3 linked regions of the Daphnia pulex genome follow. The protein of the gene in region 1 purifies or fractionates together with the protein of each later gene. This does not show direct contact. Links are inferred from orthologs where the notes say so. Each region holds a gene or a part of one and is shown on either strand. Other genes may lie near its edges. The genes, in order: zinc finger-containing ubiquitin peptidase 1-like, E3 ubiquitin-protein ligase UBR5-like and replication protein A 70 kDa DNA-binding subunit-like.

The links.
Region 2: the proteins of zinc finger-containing ubiquitin peptidase 1-like (region 1) and E3 ubiquitin-protein ligase UBR5-like purify together in Homo sapiens (affinity purification with mass spectrometry, with the first as the bait; 3 studies listed by BioGRID). This does not show direct contact. The link is inferred for Daphnia pulex from reciprocal best matches to the Homo sapiens genes ZUP1 and UBR5.
Region 3: the proteins of zinc finger-containing ubiquitin peptidase 1-like (region 1) and replication protein A 70 kDa DNA-binding subunit-like purify together in Homo sapiens (affinity purification with western blotting; 4 studies listed by BioGRID, with this or other methods). This does not show direct contact. The link is inferred for Daphnia pulex from reciprocal best matches to the Homo sapiens genes ZUP1 and RPA1.

The regions. Positions count from the first base shown.
Region 1 is NC_060028.1:10,618,597-10,625,266, forward strand, and holds zinc finger-containing ubiquitin peptidase 1-like, read left to right. Parts: upstream 1-2,347; 5' UTR 2,348-2,427; intron 2,428-2,709; coding exon 2,710-2,877; intron 2,878-2,937; coding exon 2,938-3,078; intron 3,079-3,197; coding exon 3,198-3,312; intron 3,313-3,396; coding exon 3,397-3,654; intron 3,655-3,710; coding exon 3,711-3,822; intron 3,823-3,889; coding exon 3,890-4,061; intron 4,062-4,134; coding exon 4,135-4,226; intron 4,227-4,286; coding exon 4,287-4,417; intron 4,418-4,481; coding exon 4,482-4,717; intron 4,718-4,784; coding exon 4,785-4,820; 3' UTR 4,821-5,018; downstream 5,019-6,670. Other genes in the region: polycomb group protein Psc-like, read left to right, coding at 1-1,006; tyrosine-protein kinase JAK2-like, read left to right, coding at 5,626-6,345, 6,421-6,670. UniProt on the Homo sapiens protein: Deubiquitinase with endodeubiquitinase activity that specifically interacts with and cleaves 'Lys-63'-linked long polyubiquitin chains. Shows only weak activity against 'Lys-11' and 'Lys-48'-linked chains.
Region 2 is NC_060021.1:11,110,184-11,116,934, reverse strand, and holds the start of E3 ubiquitin-protein ligase UBR5-like, read left to right. Parts: upstream 1-2,542; 5' UTR 2,543-2,680; coding exon 2,681-2,754; intron 2,755-2,894; coding exon 2,895-3,637; intron 3,638-3,719; coding exon 3,720-4,486; intron 4,487-4,553; coding exon 4,554-5,195; intron 5,196-5,265; coding exon 5,266-6,751. Other genes in the region: uncharacterized protein LOC124194704, read left to right, coding at 1-130, 203-604, 677-1,066, 1,139-1,220, 1,283-1,393, 1,463-1,612, 1,674-1,900. UniProt on the Homo sapiens protein: E3 ubiquitin-protein ligase involved in different protein quality control pathways in the cytoplasm and nucleus. Mainly acts as a ubiquitin chain elongator that extends pre-ubiquitinated substrates.
Region 3 is NC_060017.1:3,018,795-3,025,253, forward strand, and holds replication protein A 70 kDa DNA-binding subunit-like, read right to left. Parts: upstream 3,612-6,459; 5' UTR 3,488-3,611; coding exon 3,443-3,487; intron 3,381-3,442; coding exon 3,330-3,380; intron 3,266-3,329; coding exon 3,011-3,265; intron 2,941-3,010; coding exon 2,726-2,940; intron 2,664-2,725; coding exon 2,501-2,663; intron 2,439-2,500; coding exon 2,334-2,438; intron 2,268-2,333; coding exon 2,168-2,267; intron 2,084-2,167; coding exon 1,971-2,083; intron 1,904-1,970; coding exon 1,769-1,903; intron 1,709-1,768; coding exon 1,445-1,708; intron 1,387-1,444; coding exon 1,303-1,386; intron 1,241-1,302; coding exon 1,171-1,240; intron 1,103-1,170; coding exon 978-1,102; intron 914-977; coding exon 806-913; 3' UTR 626-805; downstream 1-625. Other genes in the region: ubiquitin-conjugating enzyme E2 L3, read left to right, coding at 1-76, 199-411; ankyrin repeat and MYND domain-containing protein 2-like, read left to right, coding at 3,916-4,098, 4,162-4,327, 4,396-4,535, 4,622-5,278. UniProt on the Homo sapiens protein: As part of the heterotrimeric replication protein A complex (RPA/RP-A), binds and stabilizes single-stranded DNA intermediates that form during DNA replication or upon DNA stress.

The sequences.
Region 1 (6,670 bases):
GTCAATTCCCGTCGAGTCGAGTCCTTCCAGCAAGAAACGCGGACGGAAGAAGAAGCGTCGAAAGCGCAAGACGATGGAATTGGTTCCGATCATAGAGCCTCTGCATCCTCTCAAAGTCAAAATTGTCGAGAGGATCAAATCGCCGGAATACTCTACTTGGTCGCGACCCAATGGTGTCGAGCTACTTGTTCAAGCCGCTGAATTGGCTTCTCGTCAAAATCCTACTCCACCCCCGGAAGGGGATAAACTGGAAGTTCCTAATGCAACCAAATGTCCACCACCACCTCCATTGCTTCCTATATCCGATCCCATCACCAGCAGCAACAGCGATTCCGTCAACAACAACAGCAAACCTACCGCCCCGGAAATTCCCAAAGTAATTGAACAAGATTCGCCACAGTTGACGGTGGTGGTGGCTGAAGATGACGTTGAAGACGAAGGCAAGTTGATTATTGTCGACGAAGTGAATTTGAACGGCAGTAACAGCAACGGAAGAGATTCCGGGATGGATAACGACGAAGAAGAAGAGGAAGATGACTCGGCTGGCGCCCTGGATCTGTCCTCAAAATCAACTCGAACTTGTCCTCCGGAAGAGTCTAACAACAAATCACCGAGAGAGCCGAGCCCAAAACCTCCGGCATCTCCGCAATTCGTCCAGCAGCGATCCACCGCACTTCATTCAATCACGGACAGTTTAGCTCAGAGACAGCATCAAAGACTCATCCAGCAGCAGCAACATCACCATCGCCATCATCATCACCGTCGTCTACCTACCCCGATACATCATCCGGAAGCGATGAGAAATTTGGTCACGTTGTCGCAAACTGCGTCATTGGTTCCGCCGCATCCTCAGCAAGTGGCCACTCAGCGTCTCATCGTGGCGTCGTACATGCATCAGTTTGCAGCTGCTGCAGCCGCCAGAGCTGCTTCCGCACCTCTGCGTCCTCCTAAACCCCCTCAGCCAAGTTTATCCATGTCTAACGGGTTGTTACGACGTCCGTTTTGAAATTCTGATATTCGCTTTTTCTTTGTTTCTTGGCACCGCCGCCCTTTCGTATTCATAAAACTAATTTGCGTGTTTGCCTATTAATTCGGAAAATGTACATGAAACCTTAAGATTTCATCACTTTTTCTGTAAGAGTGTATTGTTAGGTTTAACTCTTTAATTTATCAATCCGCTGTATAAATTGCTGTAGAGAAATATGATTCAAGTGTGATTATATTAATTTTTTTGCTTCGGAGGTTGTTGTTGTCTCGCTATGACGTAACGTTTCCACGTTTTACTCTCTAAAGTGTGTTTTTGTTTTGGCTCTGTTTTTCTGTTCCTTTTTAAGTGTTGTTTTTATACGGAAGACATGCTAATACCAAAAAATGTTGCGAAATAAATGGTTATGACGTCACCACTTTTTACTATTGTGCGCGTTCTCATCGATCATTATGACACAGTGCGTTGCCATTGGTTAGGGGGTGGAGTCAGGGGCCCCTTCCTGTGGGTGGGGTCGAAAGGAGAGACCCAATCGGGCGAAATGGGGTCGACAGACTAGAGGTTGCATTGCTTCTCGTTGAAAGTTCTCTTTCTCTGAATTACTTTTCAAAAGTGAATTAACTTTTCGTGAAATTATTAGACTTGGAATTGAGTATTCCAGTGCTTTCAAGTGGCCGCATTTGTCCTATTTAGTATTTACTTTGTCTAGCAGACACTCTATAAATTGAACAGGATTGAAGGTTTAAAAGATGGATTATTAGTACTAGGGCGAAGAATACAATCAAGATATTTTGGGACGTTTAATTCGATTTTCCCCTGCAAGTCCCCAATATGAATTTCAATTTAGATCATCCTTGCGTCCCACGGATGCATCTGACGTCCGTCGCACAGTGCGGGTAATTGAATGGACTATTATAGGAAGAGTTTTTTATGGTCAAAAAGGGAGAGGGGGGAAAGCATTATTTGAACTCTTATATATTATGAGTGGTATTGAGGAGTGGCGCGCGTACCGAGAGGGGGTTTCTATGGTAACCGGACCACTCAAGTACGTTGTTTTTTTCAAGTTGGGGGTAGTTGGAATGTTGTTCAAAGAACGCGCTCCTTTTTATTCCACTAAAAGCTCATTACCTGCCATCTAGCGGCGATTACAAAATGTTCTCAAGGACTTATCATTCATTACATAAGAATTTCAGTAAACTTGAATAAACGGAAGAAATTATAACTGACTCTACTTGCACTTAATTAAAAAGAATTTTTAAAAATTTCATTGATTGAGAATTTTACAAATTTTTTCTTCTGCTTGGACTTTCACAACGCTGTTGCAGATGCAGACGATGTTGAGTGTTTCCCAGTTTGTTTACAATTTTGATCTGGTGACTGGTGTGAAAGTAGCGGGAGCTAATTTGTTACATATATAGCTAATTAAGACCATTCTATTAAAAATGAGCTCCGATGAATCATTCATTACATAAGAATTTCAGTAAACTTGAATAAACGGAAGAAATTATAACTGACTCTACTTGCACTTAATTAAAAAGAATTTTTAAAAATTTCATTGATTGAGAATTTTACAAATTTTTTCTTCTGCTTGGACTTTCACAACGCTGTTGCAGACGATGTTGAGTGTTTCCCAGTTTGTTTACAATTTTGATCTGGTGACTGGTGTGAAAGTAGCGGGAGCTAATTTGTTACATATATAGCTAATTAAGACCATTCTATTAAAAATGAGCTCCGATGAAGATTGTATTATAATATCTAGTCGCAGTTCTGCAACCACTTCTGACCAAAACAAAATTATTTCCAGTAGTTTACAAAAATTCACTTGTCCTATGTGCTCTCAAACTAGTGAAGAACTCAGTGAAATTGAAGCTCATATCGAGAATGAACACCTGGTAAATTAACACTGAAGTTACAAAATTTTAGTATAGTAATTCAGAATCATTTTGCTCTAGGGGCATGAAGGACAAAGCTCGGGAGATCAAATAAACTCCTTTCGGATGGATCATGCTTGTCCACTGTGCAGTGAAATATTTAAAGATTCTTCTCTACTTGAATCTCACTTTCATGTAGAACATGACATGTTTATTAATGATGTAAATATTTCATATCCTTTATTATCCATGCTCCTAGATAAATCCTGCGTATGAAATCTCTTGTAACAACTGAAGATTAAAACTGTAACAATTATACCAATTTCCTTTTCACTTTTCAGGCTGCAGCTGCTAGATTCTCTTGTCCCGTCTGTTTATCAAATGAGTTCTCCTCTGAAGAAGTACTTGCACAGCATGTCAATCAGCACTTTTCAAATGAATGTGTTCCACCACTTGGTATATATCCAATTTGAAATTATTCTTATTTCTTTGCTTTAATCTATTACACTGTGTTTCCCTTTTCTAAACGATATCCTTCAGACGACGATGGACAGCTTGCACGAAAATTAGAGGAGCAAGAACGAGAATTGATGCAAAAGAAGGAACGCGAGGATTTCAAGCGACTTCAATCTCTTCACGGCTTTGATCAAGGGAGAAATATGAATCGACAAAGTGATGCAACTCTGTTACAATCTGTTAAAAGAGGAAATATGTCCGCGGTTGATTATCACGAGAAGCGCATTATGCTTAAAATGTCTGAGAAGATTGGTGTTGACGATGGTTCATCAGCTACTCGAGGTGCAGCGCAAGCAAAAATGATTATCTCTGACATTTTCAACTTTTTCTGTAAACAGATATAACATCTCACATAAGAAGATTTGCTACAACGCAGAACATTCACATGTGTAGCGATATTGACCACTATGCAGCTTCATTTGGAGATTCTGGCTGGGGCTGTGGATATCGGTAATTCTATCAGTTTATTAATTACAGTGGCACAGTTAATTCTACATTTGTTTAATTAATTGCATAGGAACCTTCAAATGCTACTCAGTGCCCTTCTTCGCCATCCGCAATGCGCCGAACGATTGACAACGTTATGTCCTTCGACGTCATCGACTTTAGGCAATTCAATTCAAGTCCCATCCATCACTCGACTTCAATCTGCGATAGAAGAAGCCTGGAAGTTGGGATTTGACCAACAAGTAAGAATGCAAGAGCACTTTATTTACTTATGCAACCCTTTAATTTCAACATTTTTACATTGTTGTAATAAAGGGGTGTCAACAACTCGGTGGCAAGCTCTATGGTACATGTAAATGGATTGGCGCAACAGAAATTGCAACACTTTTGGCTTCTTGTCATATTCGGTAAGCTGTAAATATTTCTTTTTGATAAAACAGATCATTAATGACAATGTTTTTATCAAGTTACCGTTTAATAGATTTTCATCGACCTACTTCTGATGACGGTAAACAACATCCGGCCTTATTCGATTGGGTGAAACAGTACTTTCAAGAACCGTCAGAATTTAAACCACCGCTTTACTTCCAACACCAAGGTATGGACAATAATTTTTAGTTATGTTGGCTTGTCTGATTTGTGTGTGATGCGTAAATTTTCAGGACACAGCCGCACGATTATTGGCATTGACGAAGGGAAACAGGGAAAACTGCGTTTACTTATTCTTGATCCAAGTCATAAAAGCGATCAAATGCGTCAGTTGACAAACACTTCTGATTCGACTAAATCTAACGCTACTGCAAAGAAAATATGGGTTCCTATGACCTCTCTAAAATCCAGGCAATATCAAATTGTTTGTGTGAACGGTGGCTTCGTTGACAGCGATCGAGAGTTCATAGTAAGTTGTTAATGTTTTATGAATTTATTATGTAAACGATTCCTGACCTTTTGTTTCATTTCTACAGCAAAGTAAATTGATCCGTTCCACTCGTATTCCTTAATGTTTTGAGAAAATTGATTTAGAAAATTAAGGTACGCAATTTATTGTTACATCTATGTGCCTACAAAATTCTTCCTCTATGCACTTGTACCGTACCGCATTCATATAAAATATTTTGTCCAAAATTGAGTTTCATCGTCTTGTCACATTTTGCAACGAAGTTTTGTTAATATTAAATTATTACATGGAGTAGTAAATAGCACTTGTATTTCCTTATTTATAAAAAGTAACGTCACACGGCACTTGTTCAATAAGATTAGAATCTATTGCTGTAAATTGACTGCTAATGGAGTTAATCGGCCTGTGTAAATGTGGGTATACATACTATCTCAAGACACCGAAACACATGAACATAAAGAATTCTAGAAACTGAGTAAACTTTATGAAGAGATGGAGAAAGTGTTAATTTAAAAATTCAAAGAAAGCGCGGGATGAAAAAACAGACCATGCTGCCATCTAGCGGCCTTTGTTGTGATTCAAAAAGAAGATGTGAAATTCGTTTTATAAATGAATAACAATAACAAATAATAAGTAATCTGGTAAGATATAATCTTTTTTTGCTTAAATCTCTGCTAATAAAATATAATAATAATTAATTACTACATTTTCACAATTCATTTAAATAGGACGGCAACGTATTTTGTGTGCCTATATTCCCATTTCCCATCCTCCTACGTGACTGGAACAACAAAAACAGGTTTGACGTTTTGATTTTGATACCTTGCCCTTAGGCAGCTGTCACTTGATGCATAAATGTGAGAGTTCAACCGGTTTTATCTTCAGTGAGTAAGCTCAGAGAGGATGACATGAGAATGTCGATTGTCGTAAAAATTATCGGTTCCAGCCCTGGTATTATTCCAATTGATGACGGATTGTCCTTTGAAGACGTTTGTATACAATGTTGTCGCGATTTGGGAATTTGCCCTACTTCTCGGAACCTTTTTGCGCTCAGGAACGAGACTTCAAAACTCTACGTCAATCCTTCAGATCTCCTGAAAGATGGGGATGATTCTTATGAGTTGAGGCTACGCTTTTGGCCCTCCCTTGTTAATTTATCTAAAATTGGGACAAAAGCACTAAACTACTTCTATCAACAAGTTCACGAGGAGTTTGTGGAGGGAAAGATTACAGCATTCAACAACAAAACAAACCAAAGTGTGGCATTGGGTTTAGCTGTAACCGCTATGTATTGCCATATGAAGGATTACGGTGTCAAAATGAGTGATGTCCTAACAAATTACAAAAAGTTTGTTCCTAAAATGGTCAGACGTAATTCAAATCTCAAGTACAGCACAGAATCCTTGAAGACCCGCTTGAATCAAGTAGTTCAGAATCCACCTGGTGAAACGTGGTTCTTCAAACAAGCGTTCCTGAAAACAATAGCTCAAACTGCTACTGACTATTCAGTTGAAAAATATCCTGTCAAAGTGGAAGAGGGGGAAGAACTAGTTGAATTTGATCTGATTATTCAGCCCATGAGTAGTGAACATCCAGGAGTCAAGATGCAGTCAGTCAAAAAGAAAATTGTAAGTTATTATTGTTATTTTATATATTGAGTTGAAAATGTTCCAAGCTAACAATAAACACAATTTTTTTTATAGCTAAGTCAGTATGTGTGTTCAATCGAAGAAGTATGCTTCGTTTCCATCAGGAAAAGTGACAACCGTATGGAAATATCGCGAATCAACGGTGTACCTCAGTACTTTCTCATGGAAAGTGAAGAGTCTATGAAAAGTTGTGTCGGTGTCCTAAATGGTTATTATCGACTTATGGAAAAATGGACATTTGATTTGTGTGGTGAACTGGTGACCCCTTCTCTTGTCAAACTAAGAAGTCTTAAATGCCATGGTC
Region 2 (6,751 bases), on another chromosome or scaffold:
GTCGTCCATCAGCGAATCGTTTGAATCGAATTTTTTGATTACGTGCGGCATGTGTTTGAAGGAATATGGCGAAAATCGAGAACCCAAGTTTCTACCTTGCGCCCACACGTTCTGCCGATCATGTCTCACGGTTAGTATAAACATAGCAATAATTTGGTAATTTTCTAAAATTAACGTTTATTGTATATTGCGTAACATACAGGAAATTAAACAAAATACCGAAATCAAGTGTCCAATCTGCAGGAAGATTCATTCCTTTTCTGAAGATTTGCCAAACAATAATTACGTCGAATCCTTGATCGAATTAGACATGAAACTTGCTGATATCGAGGCTCGCGAGAAGGACAGCGTGGTTCAGTCTGTCGAACTCAAAAACGATATTCAAGCTTCCTTAGTTGTGTTGGCGGAATGTGCGCAGGATGTGGAAACGGAGATGATGGGACATCTTAGGAAGGAATTTTCCACCTCAACTCAAATTGGACAGTCACCTTTTGGTTCCAAAATCGACACTTTTCTTTCGGAATTGAGAATGCTTTTGAATAGCCCAGCCCCCGCCAGAAATCAATTGACAGCGGCCACAGAAACAGTTTGCAGTTGGTTTCAGGTAGATCGCGCTATACAGATGAGACTCATTTGAGTTTGAAATAATTTATTTATTTTTTTATTGTTGATTTAGAAACATCAAATGGACAAGAAAGACTATGCCAATTTGTTGATCGAGCTTGAATCTAGAATGATTGAAATGGAGAATCGAGAAAAAGAGTGGATTTCTCGTCATCTCAAAAGGGATATCAAGTCTTCCCTGGCGAAATTGACGAAATCAATCCACAGAGCCGAGGATGACATTATGAAGCAACTCGAAAACAACGAAACACTGGCCATGGCTAACGTCCGAAAATCCGAGTGCGATATTCACTTCCAAACTGTGTTTAAATTGGAAGGTTTATGGGAGAAACGATTGCCCATCCGTGGCGAACCTCAAGATTTTCAGTACAAAATGCAGGAGTATTTGGCGTTTGTTAATCGACATTTATTATCGGACGAAATTGTCTTCATTTGGATAGAAGTATTTTGTTTTTCTTTTGCGCTACCTTGAGTTATCAAGTTAAACCTATTTCGTTTTTTCCCTATTCATTAGCAACAATATGTCTACAAGGTTTCTCTCGAATTGTTATCAAATCGGGATCTTTTCACTGCAGCCCTGCATGAAAGTAAAGAAGGTAAGCTTTTGCTGTTGCGGAACATTACAATTCACGGACCACTTTTTAAATTTGATGTGCAGGGATAGAAGTACAAGTTGATTTGAGCAAAACTCCTTATAGAGATTTACACGAGCTTTATTCTGCTTTGATTTTTGCATTGGCCACTGCTGCTATAAATAATTCGATTGAAGGTAAATTTCCCAATTTTATGTTAATAGTTTACGTAATGTGTCTAAATATCTATATATTTTTTAAACTAGATAAAAGTGGAGATTGCAAACTGAACCATGCAATTTTGAAACGTTGGACATCTTCAATATTAAAACGGTACATTGACGAGAGTGATAGCAGCGGAATGCAACTGATATTTGTTGTACAAACTTTGGTCGCTAAGCTACAACATCCCAAAGGTGGTCACTAGCGATGGATAACGGAATTCAATATTAATTTAATTTTGAACGATTTCTCTAGGTTTGATGCAAGAAATCTTTGAGGTGCTGTGTGAAGAGGGCCTCTTGTCATGGGTTATCGATCCATCGATCGTTGCTCCATCCTCCGGCGAATCAGGTTTTCAAGGGGGAAGCAAACTTGTCGCATATTTGATTTCTGATTTGATTTCGTCGTACATGGCAGAAAAATCATTGCATGAAGACAAACTAAATGAATCTATTGATATTGAATGTATAAGTATATTATAAAAAAATGCCTAATAGCCCATATCCATGGAATATCACCATATCGATTGAATCCCCAATTTATTTCTTCTTACACGTTCCCATATTAAAAATCAAGTTCGTTTGCTAAATCATTTAACATCTATTCTAATACATATATTCCAAGTTATATTTTGTTGTTTTTTACATTTATCCAACTGGAGCTACCAAATTTTGAATTCGTTATTCAAAAATTGCCACTATGTGGCGTTACCATACCAACCCATCAGTAGGAAAACTAGACGTAGGTGGTGTAATAATATGATTATGTTGCAATTTATTTATTGCATTATGACGTAATTTTAAATTGCGATTGCCAAAACCTTAGCAATATTATATGGGTTCTTGTAGTGCACTACCTTGAAGTATGAGTTAGAAAAAAGGAATAGAAAACTTAAAAGTCGAATTGATAACATAGCATTTTGTTCTTATTTGAAGAATTAAAGGTTTCATGGTTTCACTAGTCAAAAGATTTTGCAATTTACGAAATTAAAACGTTACATAATCGAACACAAAACGTTTTGTTAACATTATTTCGAAATTCGAGCATTTTTGTGAACAATGAAAATTTCGAACAAAACACGAGCGAATCGCGAGCAAAGGATTCAAAGTGGCAACGCTGTTTCCAAGAGAGAAAAATTGAGAGAATTGAGAAGACTCCATGCTGGACGTTATTAAGCCTGCTCATGATGGTCTAGACAGAGACCCATGAGAAAAAGGAAAAATTGTTCGAGAGTTTCTTAATTACATATCAGTTTTGTCTTCATGATGTCGGGATCATCAAATATTCATTTTCTCGTGCAATCATTACCCACCACAGAAGAAGTGATATTGGATCGGTAAGTTTGTTGCCAACACATCACCTTCGTATTTCCCAATACCTACCATTTTTCGATTCCCATTTTTGTACAGGGATAATGAAAAACGTATTTCTAACGAATGTAGTATATTGAATGCAAATTTTCTTATGATTTTGCAGGCTTAAAGAACTTGCTGATAAAACCAACCGTTTTGGGCACATCAACTCTGGTTTTACCAGTGCATTACGTTCCCCTGTCCAGCAGTGTGTAGTGGGACCTTCCCATATTGTGTTTCTGCTGGAGGATGGAAGGGTGTGCAGACTTGCCTTCAATGTTTTACCGGATCGCTTAGATCTGAGCAAAAATGAAGCAAACCGGGGGAAAGATGGCAAGGGATCTGGCCCAGGTCCTAGTCGCCAGACTTGCAAAAGAGGCAGGTTGCTCAGAGCTTCCAGTCTCAGGGGTGCAAGCAACAGTGGATCTAGGGGAACAGGACTTTTGGCTTCCGGGGCAGTGGGACATGGTGTCATCATGGCTAGCTCTAGACCTGTCTTTGTCCCTGAAGAACTAGTTTCACAAGCCCAAGTTGTCCTGCAAGGAAAAAGCAGAAGCGTTATTATTCGCGAGTTGCAGAGAACCAACTTGGATGTCAATCAAGCTGTCAACAATTTGCTTTCACGTGACGATGATGAGAGTGAAGACGTTGACGATTCTCAGGATTCATACGTTCCCGAAGACTTGATTTCTCTGCTCGATCCTGGTGCAGGGCTACACTCTGACCATGCAGGGCCTTCCGTCATTATTGACGCTGACGCCATGTTCTCAGAAGACATGTTTGGTTATTCAACCATTCGCAGCCGCCCATCCGGAAATAATCGTGGAAGAAGCGTGGAAGGCGAACGAGAACGCAGCAGTGATCGAGGTAGTTGTCTTTTTATTAACAATCCTGCTTTTCATTTTTTTTTTTTATTTAATCGGGTACAACTTATGAAATATAATTGTAGCAAAATTGATTAACTGTCTCACAGGAGGTGGAGGTGGTGGTAGTGGAGCAGGGACAGGAGGAGCAGATCGTGAATCTGGGATGTTTCGTTGGCGAGATCGACATTATCTTGGACCACGTCGTTGGCTGGAAACAGCGCTTCGAGACACTTGGTACGAACGTGACCTGGATGGCAGCAAAAAGAAAGACACTCCACATCAAACACAGAGCCCTCTAGGTCTGTCAGACGAGCTTGAATTTTGGCCTGAACGAGGCTCTAGTGGTCCGTCTCCCCGTTTCACCAGCATTGCTGCAATGTATTCTGAGTTGATCGCACTTAGTACATCTGGTCAAATCCTCTCATGGAAATGGACTGACGCGGAGCCTTATCGTCACCTGGATTTCCCTCACGCTCATCACCCACGAGCTCTTACACTGGGGCTCTATGCTGAAAAAATTGTACTGCTGTCGGCATCCGTCATACGGTGCACTGTGGTAACGGAATCGGGAAAAGTAGCCAGCTGGTTAGATGAAACTGTAGCTCACGTTCCCGGTATCACAAGACTTGAACATGCTGCCCAGCACCCCTCTGAATTTCACGGCGAAAAAATCGTTTCACTCGACACCTGTTCACTCTACTCGGCTGTTCGACTAGAAAATGGAGCCATTTATTGGTGGGGCGTATTGCCACCAGGCCAACGCCGTAAACTTTGGGACAAATACCGAACCAAAGCTAAGAAGAGCCACAGCAGCTCAGCTTCCGGTTCCGATATCGTTACTGGCGCACAGGTAAATAACGAAATAGCTATTTCTTTGTTATCATTTTTTAAAGCTTATGGTTGATTTTATTCTTCAGGTGTGTATGAGAAGTAGTCCCATGTATCAAGCTGGAGCCATTGGATTCTCAATCATCGATGGTGTGCCGAAAGTCGGTCAGCTGCAAGGTTCAGCATGGAGCTGGACTGATACTTGTCGATTCCGTATCGTCCCAGGACCCCCTCCCTTGGTCCGCCTAGCTCCACCTCTTCCACCCGGAGGTAGTAGTGACAGCAAACGTGGCAATGCTGCAAGTGGAAGTAGCAGCAGTAGCAACGCCGAAACCTCTAAAACATCGAGCACTCGTGAGGCGGTTGTCGAAAAACCTGACATGCCTCCTCCTCCATCGCCAGCCAGCAGCACTTGCAGCGAAACGGGGAGCGTAGCAGGAGGCTCACAAAAGAAACACAAGAGACCAGCTCCGCGCGGCGATAGCGAAGACAAACGTGGCGACGAAGAGGAATGGGTGTTAAAAGATGTCATTTTCATCGAAGATGTTAAGAATGTGCCCATTGGCCGCGTCCTCAAGGTGGACGGCGCCTACGCTGCTGTTCGTTTTCCGTCTAACAAGGATTACAGCGGCAAGGAAGCTAAAGATTTAGTTGTGCCGGCAAATAGCGGCAGCGAAGATCCTGCTTCGCTTCTACAAGATTGCCGTTTATTGCGTAAAGACGAATTGCAGGTGAGTGACGATTGTGAATATTTGAATCCACGAAATTTCCCTAATCTAATGTTACTCTTTCTCTATTTAGGTGGTAAAATCGGGCTCATCCATCCGGATCCCTGATTGTTTCCAAAGACTCCCGCGACGAGTGACGTTGGCCGATCCCGGACAGATTTTAGCCTTCTCAGTAGACGGACAAGGTATTCACACGGTCAACAAAGTTGGCTCTCAGCTCAAGTACACAATCTACAATCTGAGCACGGGAAAAGCCGAGTATGAATCGAATATACCAACGGACTATACCTCGTTCATGGGCCTCAACGTCGGACGAAACATTGGACTCTTCAATACAGGAGATGGTGACGCCTTGACTCTGCTCCGTGATGGAAATGGCACAATCTACCCTTTGTCACGTGACTGTCTCGATTCTATTCGTGATCCGCATTTGCTGGATTTGCCACCAATGCGCTGCCTGGGTTTCGGTTCCCATTCTCTGCAAGGGGTTGGTCCTGGACAGAAGACTCAAGCCATATTACTCGTACTCGTCACCGAAAATCAATTATTAATGCCCAAGTTGCTGGCCTGCGATATCGATGGCGTTCGCCACGTCATGAACTGCTTAGAAACGTCTTCAGAAGCCTATCGCCTTTCCGGCGTCCAGAGTATCGTCAACGAACGCTGTGATGGTGGTCGAAACGTAATCCACGCCTGCGTATCCATGTGCTCACCAACTTCAAACAAAGATGCGGACGTTCAAGACGAGCGAAATGTAGCACCCGTCGCCAACTCCATCGCTGATCCTCTAGATCCCCTTCCGGTGGGTTTGAGCACTTCCTCCCGGGCTGTAAGTCTCAGAGAGATGATGAGGCGTGCTGCTGTTGCTCGACCATCGGAAAGTTCCACAGCCGATTCGGGAGTTCCCAGTAGTAGTTCCGTAGTCGAAGAAAACATTTCTATTCCGACGCTCAATTGGCCACCGGAACCGATGTCTTTGGAATCGTCCAATCACGGCGATGACGATCAAGCTGGCTCGAGCAGTGCCGGCGCATGTGGCTCCTCCAAAATGGCGGCTGCTGCCGTTTCCGACCCTGTTGAACGACGTGCCAATTCCTTGGCCGCGTTGAAGGCCATCACCGAGAGTCCAGCTCTGACCCCTCATCTACAGACACTCCTTTCCGCGCGTGACGCTCAAGGTCACACACCGTTCATGCAAGCGGTTGCCGTTCGTGCCTACCCCGCAGCATTACTTTTGCTAGATGTGGCCACTAGATTATTTCGACAGATTACAACGGAAGTGGACGCTCAGAAAAAGCTGTTGCAGAGTTTCATTTTTCCATTGGGCAAGAATGGCTGCAGCCCGGATGACTCACCGCTCCATGTTCTCTGTAGCAACGACACGTGCAGCTTCACTTGGACCGGAGCCGAACACATTAATCAGGATATCTTTGAATGCCGAACATGCGGCCTTACGGGATCCCTTTGCTGTTGTACCGAGTGCGCCCGCGTATGTCACAAGGGTCACGATTGCAAGCTCAAGCGCACATCGCCCACCGCTTATTGTGACTGCTGGGAAA
Region 3 (6,459 bases), on another chromosome or scaffold:
TGAGTATCCATTCAAACCACCAAAAATTGCGTTCAAGACAAAAATCTATCATCCAAATATTGATGAAAAGGGACAGGTAAAAATTTCAATGTTAACCTTGTAAATATCTTATTTGTCTGGCAATTTCTGTTAGGTCTTAAAAACATTTGCCTTTTGGAATTTTTGCCATACTTATTATTGTGTGTTTATTTCTTTCAGGTCTGTTTGCCCATAATAAGTGCTGAAAACTGGAAGCCTGCCACCAAAACTGATCAAGTGATACAAGCGCTGGTTGCCTTGGTTAATGATCCAGAGCCTGAACATCCACTTAGGGCTGATCTTGCTGAAGAGTATTCCAAAGACAAAAAGAAATTCATGAAGAATGCAGAAGAGTTTACAAAAAAAAACAGTGAGAAGAGACCAAGTGATTAAATGTTTTCTGTTTTCATCATAAACACTTGAGAAGAGGCAGAGTTAAAATTTTGAACTGGTCCCCCCTCTTTCCCTCTTCACTTCATTGTAGAGCAGTGAGAGCTGCACTGTGATCTTCATTTATTTTCATTTCTATCTTTGCCTCTCTTGATGGTTGAAATATTTCATTGCACATGAGCTGCGAAAAACAATACATTTGCAGTTGTCTGAAAAATTATTTTTTGTAATATCCATGTTTATTTTGCAAATCATTTATTATCATGTTACACACACGGTTTTTCCGGGATCTCGATTTGATTCACAAGAACAGGAATTCATAAAGAATTGTTCCTGTATAATCCGAAAATGAAGGTTTTTTATAAGTTTAATAGATAAGGAGCAAGGGAAAATCCATTCATTCTGATGCAGCCATTTCTTTCATTTCTCGAATCAATCGCTCGTTGTGCTCTTTATAGTTGATTTCCTTCACTTCATAGACATTTGTTTTGAGGCGGCTTTCATCCTAAAGAAAAGGTAAAAGCGTCAACAGATAACAAGATCGAAATTCATAATGCTCATAGACTTACATTGTACGTCTCCATTTTCACTCTCAGGCGGAAGACATACCACTTAAAAGTAGCTTCTTCGAAAATTTTCTGAAATTCGTTATTATCCGAATCCTTCAATCTACCGACCTCGTCTGCGGATTTCCCTAAAATTTATAATCAAATAAATAAATATTATATGCTAAACGTAACATTAGTTCGAAAACAAAATTACCAAGAAGAGTTTCAGCGGTTTCTTGGAAGCAGGTTACCCATTGCTGGTCCGTGGCATCCGCGATATTGACCTATAACAAATTTCGAGTGCTGTTTTGAGAGAAATAGATTTCATAAAATATCTTTGTCATACCGAAAGCATCATGCGCCATTTGAATTCCTGGAATTCGCGCTGGCATTTCTCACATCGATAGAGGCCATTGTTTTGATCGATGACCTGCGGGAAACGCAAATATTGTCAAAAATGAGTTGTTTTATTATATATTTATGTTTACCTTTTTGTTGCATTCATCACTGGGACAAGCCATGTACAACGCTCTTTCTTTGTTGATCATAGCAACCATAGCCTTAACACTGTAGAAATCAGGTTTATCTTTTCCCAGGTTTTCGAATTTTGCTTCAGCGAAAGTCTTATACGACCCACCACTACCACCAGTGCCAGCGCCACGACTCGCCGAAATGCTAGAAGCGGCCGATGATGAGCCACCGTTATCGTACCACCCTCTTAGTTTGTGAGCTTCATTCATGTCAGGATTGATCTATTAAAAATATGCGCTGTAGAATAGTAGAGAAATAGAAAGTCTTACATTTGATTTTACCTGCACGACAGTAGACGAGACTGTTCCTAGAGAACGACCTCCAAAATCAGAAAGTTTCACTCCTTTTAATGCTACAACAGGCTGGGAGCTAGCGTCAAATTCCTCGCCCATTTTTCCCCATAAAGTCAAATTAACCTGATGTTTGAAGACAAGAATGATTAATTAACTGGGCTCGACAATTAAACGAAGAATCCAGTCATACCTCTGTGTTGGTACTGTCCACCATCTGAACTTCTCGCATCCTCAATTCTTTATTTGTCGTTTTGGAAACGATAACGCGGACGTCATTTGCTGACTTAACCACACCAATGACATCTGAAAGCACGGTCAATCGGTCATATCGTAGGCACCATTCAAATAGAAGAATTGTAATGTTAATGCACCTAAAAGACAACTTACCAATAACACTGTCCTTGTCCAGGCTAGGTAGCTGATCAATGGGAACAAAGTTGAAGGAGATTGATGGGATATCTGATGTATCATCGTGGCAAGGAATTACCTAAAAAATAAGTAAAAGAAAAAAAAATTGAGGCTGGTACGATTGACGATTGAAAAACATTCATACTGTAGTATTTTGGTTGAACGACATTTCATAATCGTTCCTCATACTGCTGTACTGTTTGTTTGCTGCCTTCAGTTGTGCTTGTGAAATGTAAAAGATCTTGCCGATCTACAACGAAAAATAACAATGTAAATAAATAACTTCAAACACTGTTTTTGAATTAAATGTACCTCAATCATGTGGTAAAACTTGTCACACTCGGCATTGAATGCAGTGGCACGGATTTCACCAGTCTCATCCACCATGTCCATCGAGAAAAGCTTTCCTTCACCTCGAGAATTGCTCCACGTACGGATATCGGACTTGTTTATAATTCTCACTTTTACAGTCCACCTACAAACAAGCAAAGTTAATGATTCAATTTTTCTTGTACTGAAATTTCTCAACAAACATACTTGTTTTGGTAGGGTGTAAGGCTTACAATCGGATGGGTAATAATGTCAGACTTCTCTGTTGGCTGTCCATATCCACCAGTTTTGTTAGGTGGTGCAGACTTCGATCCCATATTGTAATTGTTCACATTTCCTAAAGGTGCAGGTTTTGCTGCTGCCTCTTCAGTAACCTCTCCAACATCATTAAGAGTCTGAGGGTTTCCTATTTTTTCTCCAACCTAAACAAAAAATGTTCAAAATGAAGAGATATCCTTATTTGTATTTCGAAACTAAGTAAAGTGAACATACTTCACTTCCAGGCACAATTGGCTCAACATCCAAAAGAATGATAATTTTCTTTTGGTCCTTGCCTGCAGTTGCCTTAGTAGCAACTTTGTTAACAACAAACTTTTTTACTCTAATGATGGTAAAGTTCTCAAGCTGACCATCCACAATCAGATGATTTAGTTGTGTTGCCAACATTCCATATGCATAGGAATACTTTCCATCAGAGATGAGAATTCTGTAACGGTCATTATTGTCTCCCTGAAGATTTTTGTAACCCTATTGTAAGAGAAGAAAATGTAAAAATGCTGCAAATGAAGAAAAAATCTTGCTCGTTGCTTACCAAAACTTGTAGAATTGGAGTTTCATTGTGCAGGCCATTCCCAATGATGGACTATGTCGAAATAAAGATATTTATAGTTTTATTCAAAAATTCGAAATTATGATTGATATTACCGGAATTGCGCCGCTGGTTAGTGCTGGGTGATTTCTTCTGTTCATTTTACGGAACCTTTTTTAACGGGGATTACTTCGTTCAGTCAACGTGCTTGAATTTTTTTAAGCAGTTTTTACGGACAAGACGACGAAGTGCGATGGCGGGAAAACAACAGTGGTACAAACGAAACCAAGGCTGAACGTGCAGCGTTGAATGTTTAAGAAACTTTTTAACTCAATGAAGACCACTAAAAATATAAAGAAGAAAAATAATGAAAAAGTTTTTTTTCTGAAATAAAGGTTCATACGAAGCAAAAATAAGTTTTCGTTTTATTCGCATTTTTGGCGTTGTTGGATTTTTTGTTTTTCGAAATGTCCGGTTGTTATAGCAACAGTTGCAGACGACAACGGAAACTATATCGTTATATGAAAATTTGTGACTGAATTATTTGATTTCCTTCAAAAACGAGTTAATTGCCAAAGAATCTCGAAAAATGATTTCGGAAAACTTTATTAAAGCTATTGACAAGATTAACAACAATGATACTAGTGGTTTGCAAGAACTTATAAAATCCCGGGACGTTGAAATTGACGATGAGGATGAGCATGGAATGACATTACTGCAACATGCCGCTTTTAAAGGGAAAAAAGATATTTGCCAGTTGCTCCTTGACCTGGTAAGTCTAACTATATTATCAATGTTGTTAATTTGATTGAAAAGTTGACTTTTTTTCTCGAAGGGAGCTGATGCCAATGGAGGTCATCATGAACACAAGTATACTTCCCTTCATTTTGCAGCTCTGTCTGGAAATTTGGATATTTGTCAACAATTACTTCAGTGTGGTTGTAAACCTGATGTGGTTAACTCAGTAGGCAGAACTGCAGCTCAAATGGCTGCATTTGTAGGTAGGCTAGTCAATCATAATGTTTGTACAAATCATCCAAAACTAAAATGAATTATTTTGGCAAACCAGGGAATCACACAGTTGTTTCCATCATCAACAATTTCATTCCACGCTCAGAAATAGAGCAGTACACTGTAGCTCCTAGCGATCAAACTGAGCCAAAATTGCCACCAGCTGCTGCACCAGCTTTGCACAAATTTGTGATGCAGGTTGTGCACTTGAATAGACACATCACTTCATTTCTTATTCTGCCACGGAAAAGCACTTGAACTTTTTGTTTTGTTTGATTTATCAGGTCAATCTGCATCCAGTTCACCTTTTGTTGACTATTCAAAAACTTCCTTTGCTTTACGATAACCTCACAAAAGTGAAAAACGTCTTGGAGATACTTAGCGAAAATCAGATGAAGCGCAGCCAAGAAGTCAACGAGATCCTCGCACTTAAATACCACTATTTGCGTTTCCTAGTCGAAAGAATGGCCAAAGAGCAGCAGCAGCACCCCGACAAAACCGTTTTGGAGTTATTAAATCAATATGTTAAAGCATTTTTGAAGCAACGTCAATCCGATGGTTTTCCCGAGTTTATGGACAACTTCATCCGCGAGTCGATCCGCACTTTCCCTTTCAAGGAGACGACCATCTTCCGCCAGTTGCTGGTCAATCTGTCCAAGACAAAAGAGGAGACTCCACTAGCTCTCAATCTTCTCACTTCCTGCATCAACGGTCAGCGTGGATTTCAAGATGACGACGCCTGTGCCACTTGCGGCCAAGAGAAGGTAGCCAGCAAGTGTTCCATATGCAAATCTGTGCAATATTGCAACCGCGATTGTCAAAAGTTGCACTGGTCTATCCACAAAAAGGAGTGCGACAAGTTGGCCAAGCAATTTAAAAATTTGGAAATTAAATCTCAAGACTCCGAGGCGAAGGCTGCCGATCCGGAAACCAGCAAATAGAAATTTTGATTATGTGGGGGTTTTTGCATGATCGAATTCGATGTATGTTCACCCCGTACGTTTCCTTTTTAATCTACAATTGTCTACAGCGGACCCCTGTTTGCTTCCATATTTAGCTAACCTATTCAGTTGTCCAGTCTTTTACACTGTACGTGCGGTCCCATTGTTTTTATATCGTGAAAAATCTGCTTTGAATGGCCCCCATGTTATCGTCGCATTCATCCCACACAAATACAAACCTTGTCATGCCTCATTTCTAGTGTATTTCTTTTCTTAGACTAAAAAACCAGCCACTAGATGGACATTGTTCTCTTGTGGCCCTCCTCATCCACATATTGCTACACTAAATCTTCAAATGTCTACCCTTCACTAAGAAATATTTCCCTCTCACCTCAAAACAAGGAAATACAAATTACGCGAAACCAATCGCTGGTTTTTAATCGACGAATGATAATTGAAAACTTGTTGTAAGAATTTATCGTATAGTTTAAAGAAGACAATAAGTGAGCCAGGCTGCAATGAATGTAATCTCTTTTTGATAAAACCAACCAAAAGATAAAACTAGCAGCAGGTTTTTATTTCCCCGAATTAAGTGTCGTTGGTTTTGCGCGAATCGGTTTCAAAAAATGCCCGAAAAAAATGGAACTCGAGAGCCAGTTGGTTGGACGTGTACAGTTGATGACGGAAGCGGCGGCACCGATCCAGAAGAAAACACACACACACATGTGTCACTTTTCTTTCATTCCGATAAGCTTCAATGCCTCTGTCCAGGGGTTATTTGCCCTCTTTTAAACATGTGTGGCGACGACGATCTAAATAGATATGTGACTGCTATATACCACCGAATGCTTTTACATGTATATAGCGCTGGTGATACAATATTTAAGCCTTCATTTTTGTTGAAAAAACCAACGAGATAGGGCAAACTATATAGCGATGAGGGAATATACAACCGTCAAGTCTGTAGACGAAATTGACACGGAAGTGAACTCAAATGAAGTTTTGAAGCCGAGAGATCGACCATCCTGATAATATAACGTAGACACCAGTTATACTGCCCTTCATTATAAAGATCATCATTATAAGGTGCACAGTGAATTGCTGCTGGTGCGCATATACTAGTACAAGGGTTTTTTTTTTCGATCCGTATCGACAGCAATGAGCTGCTTTTGACCTTCTTC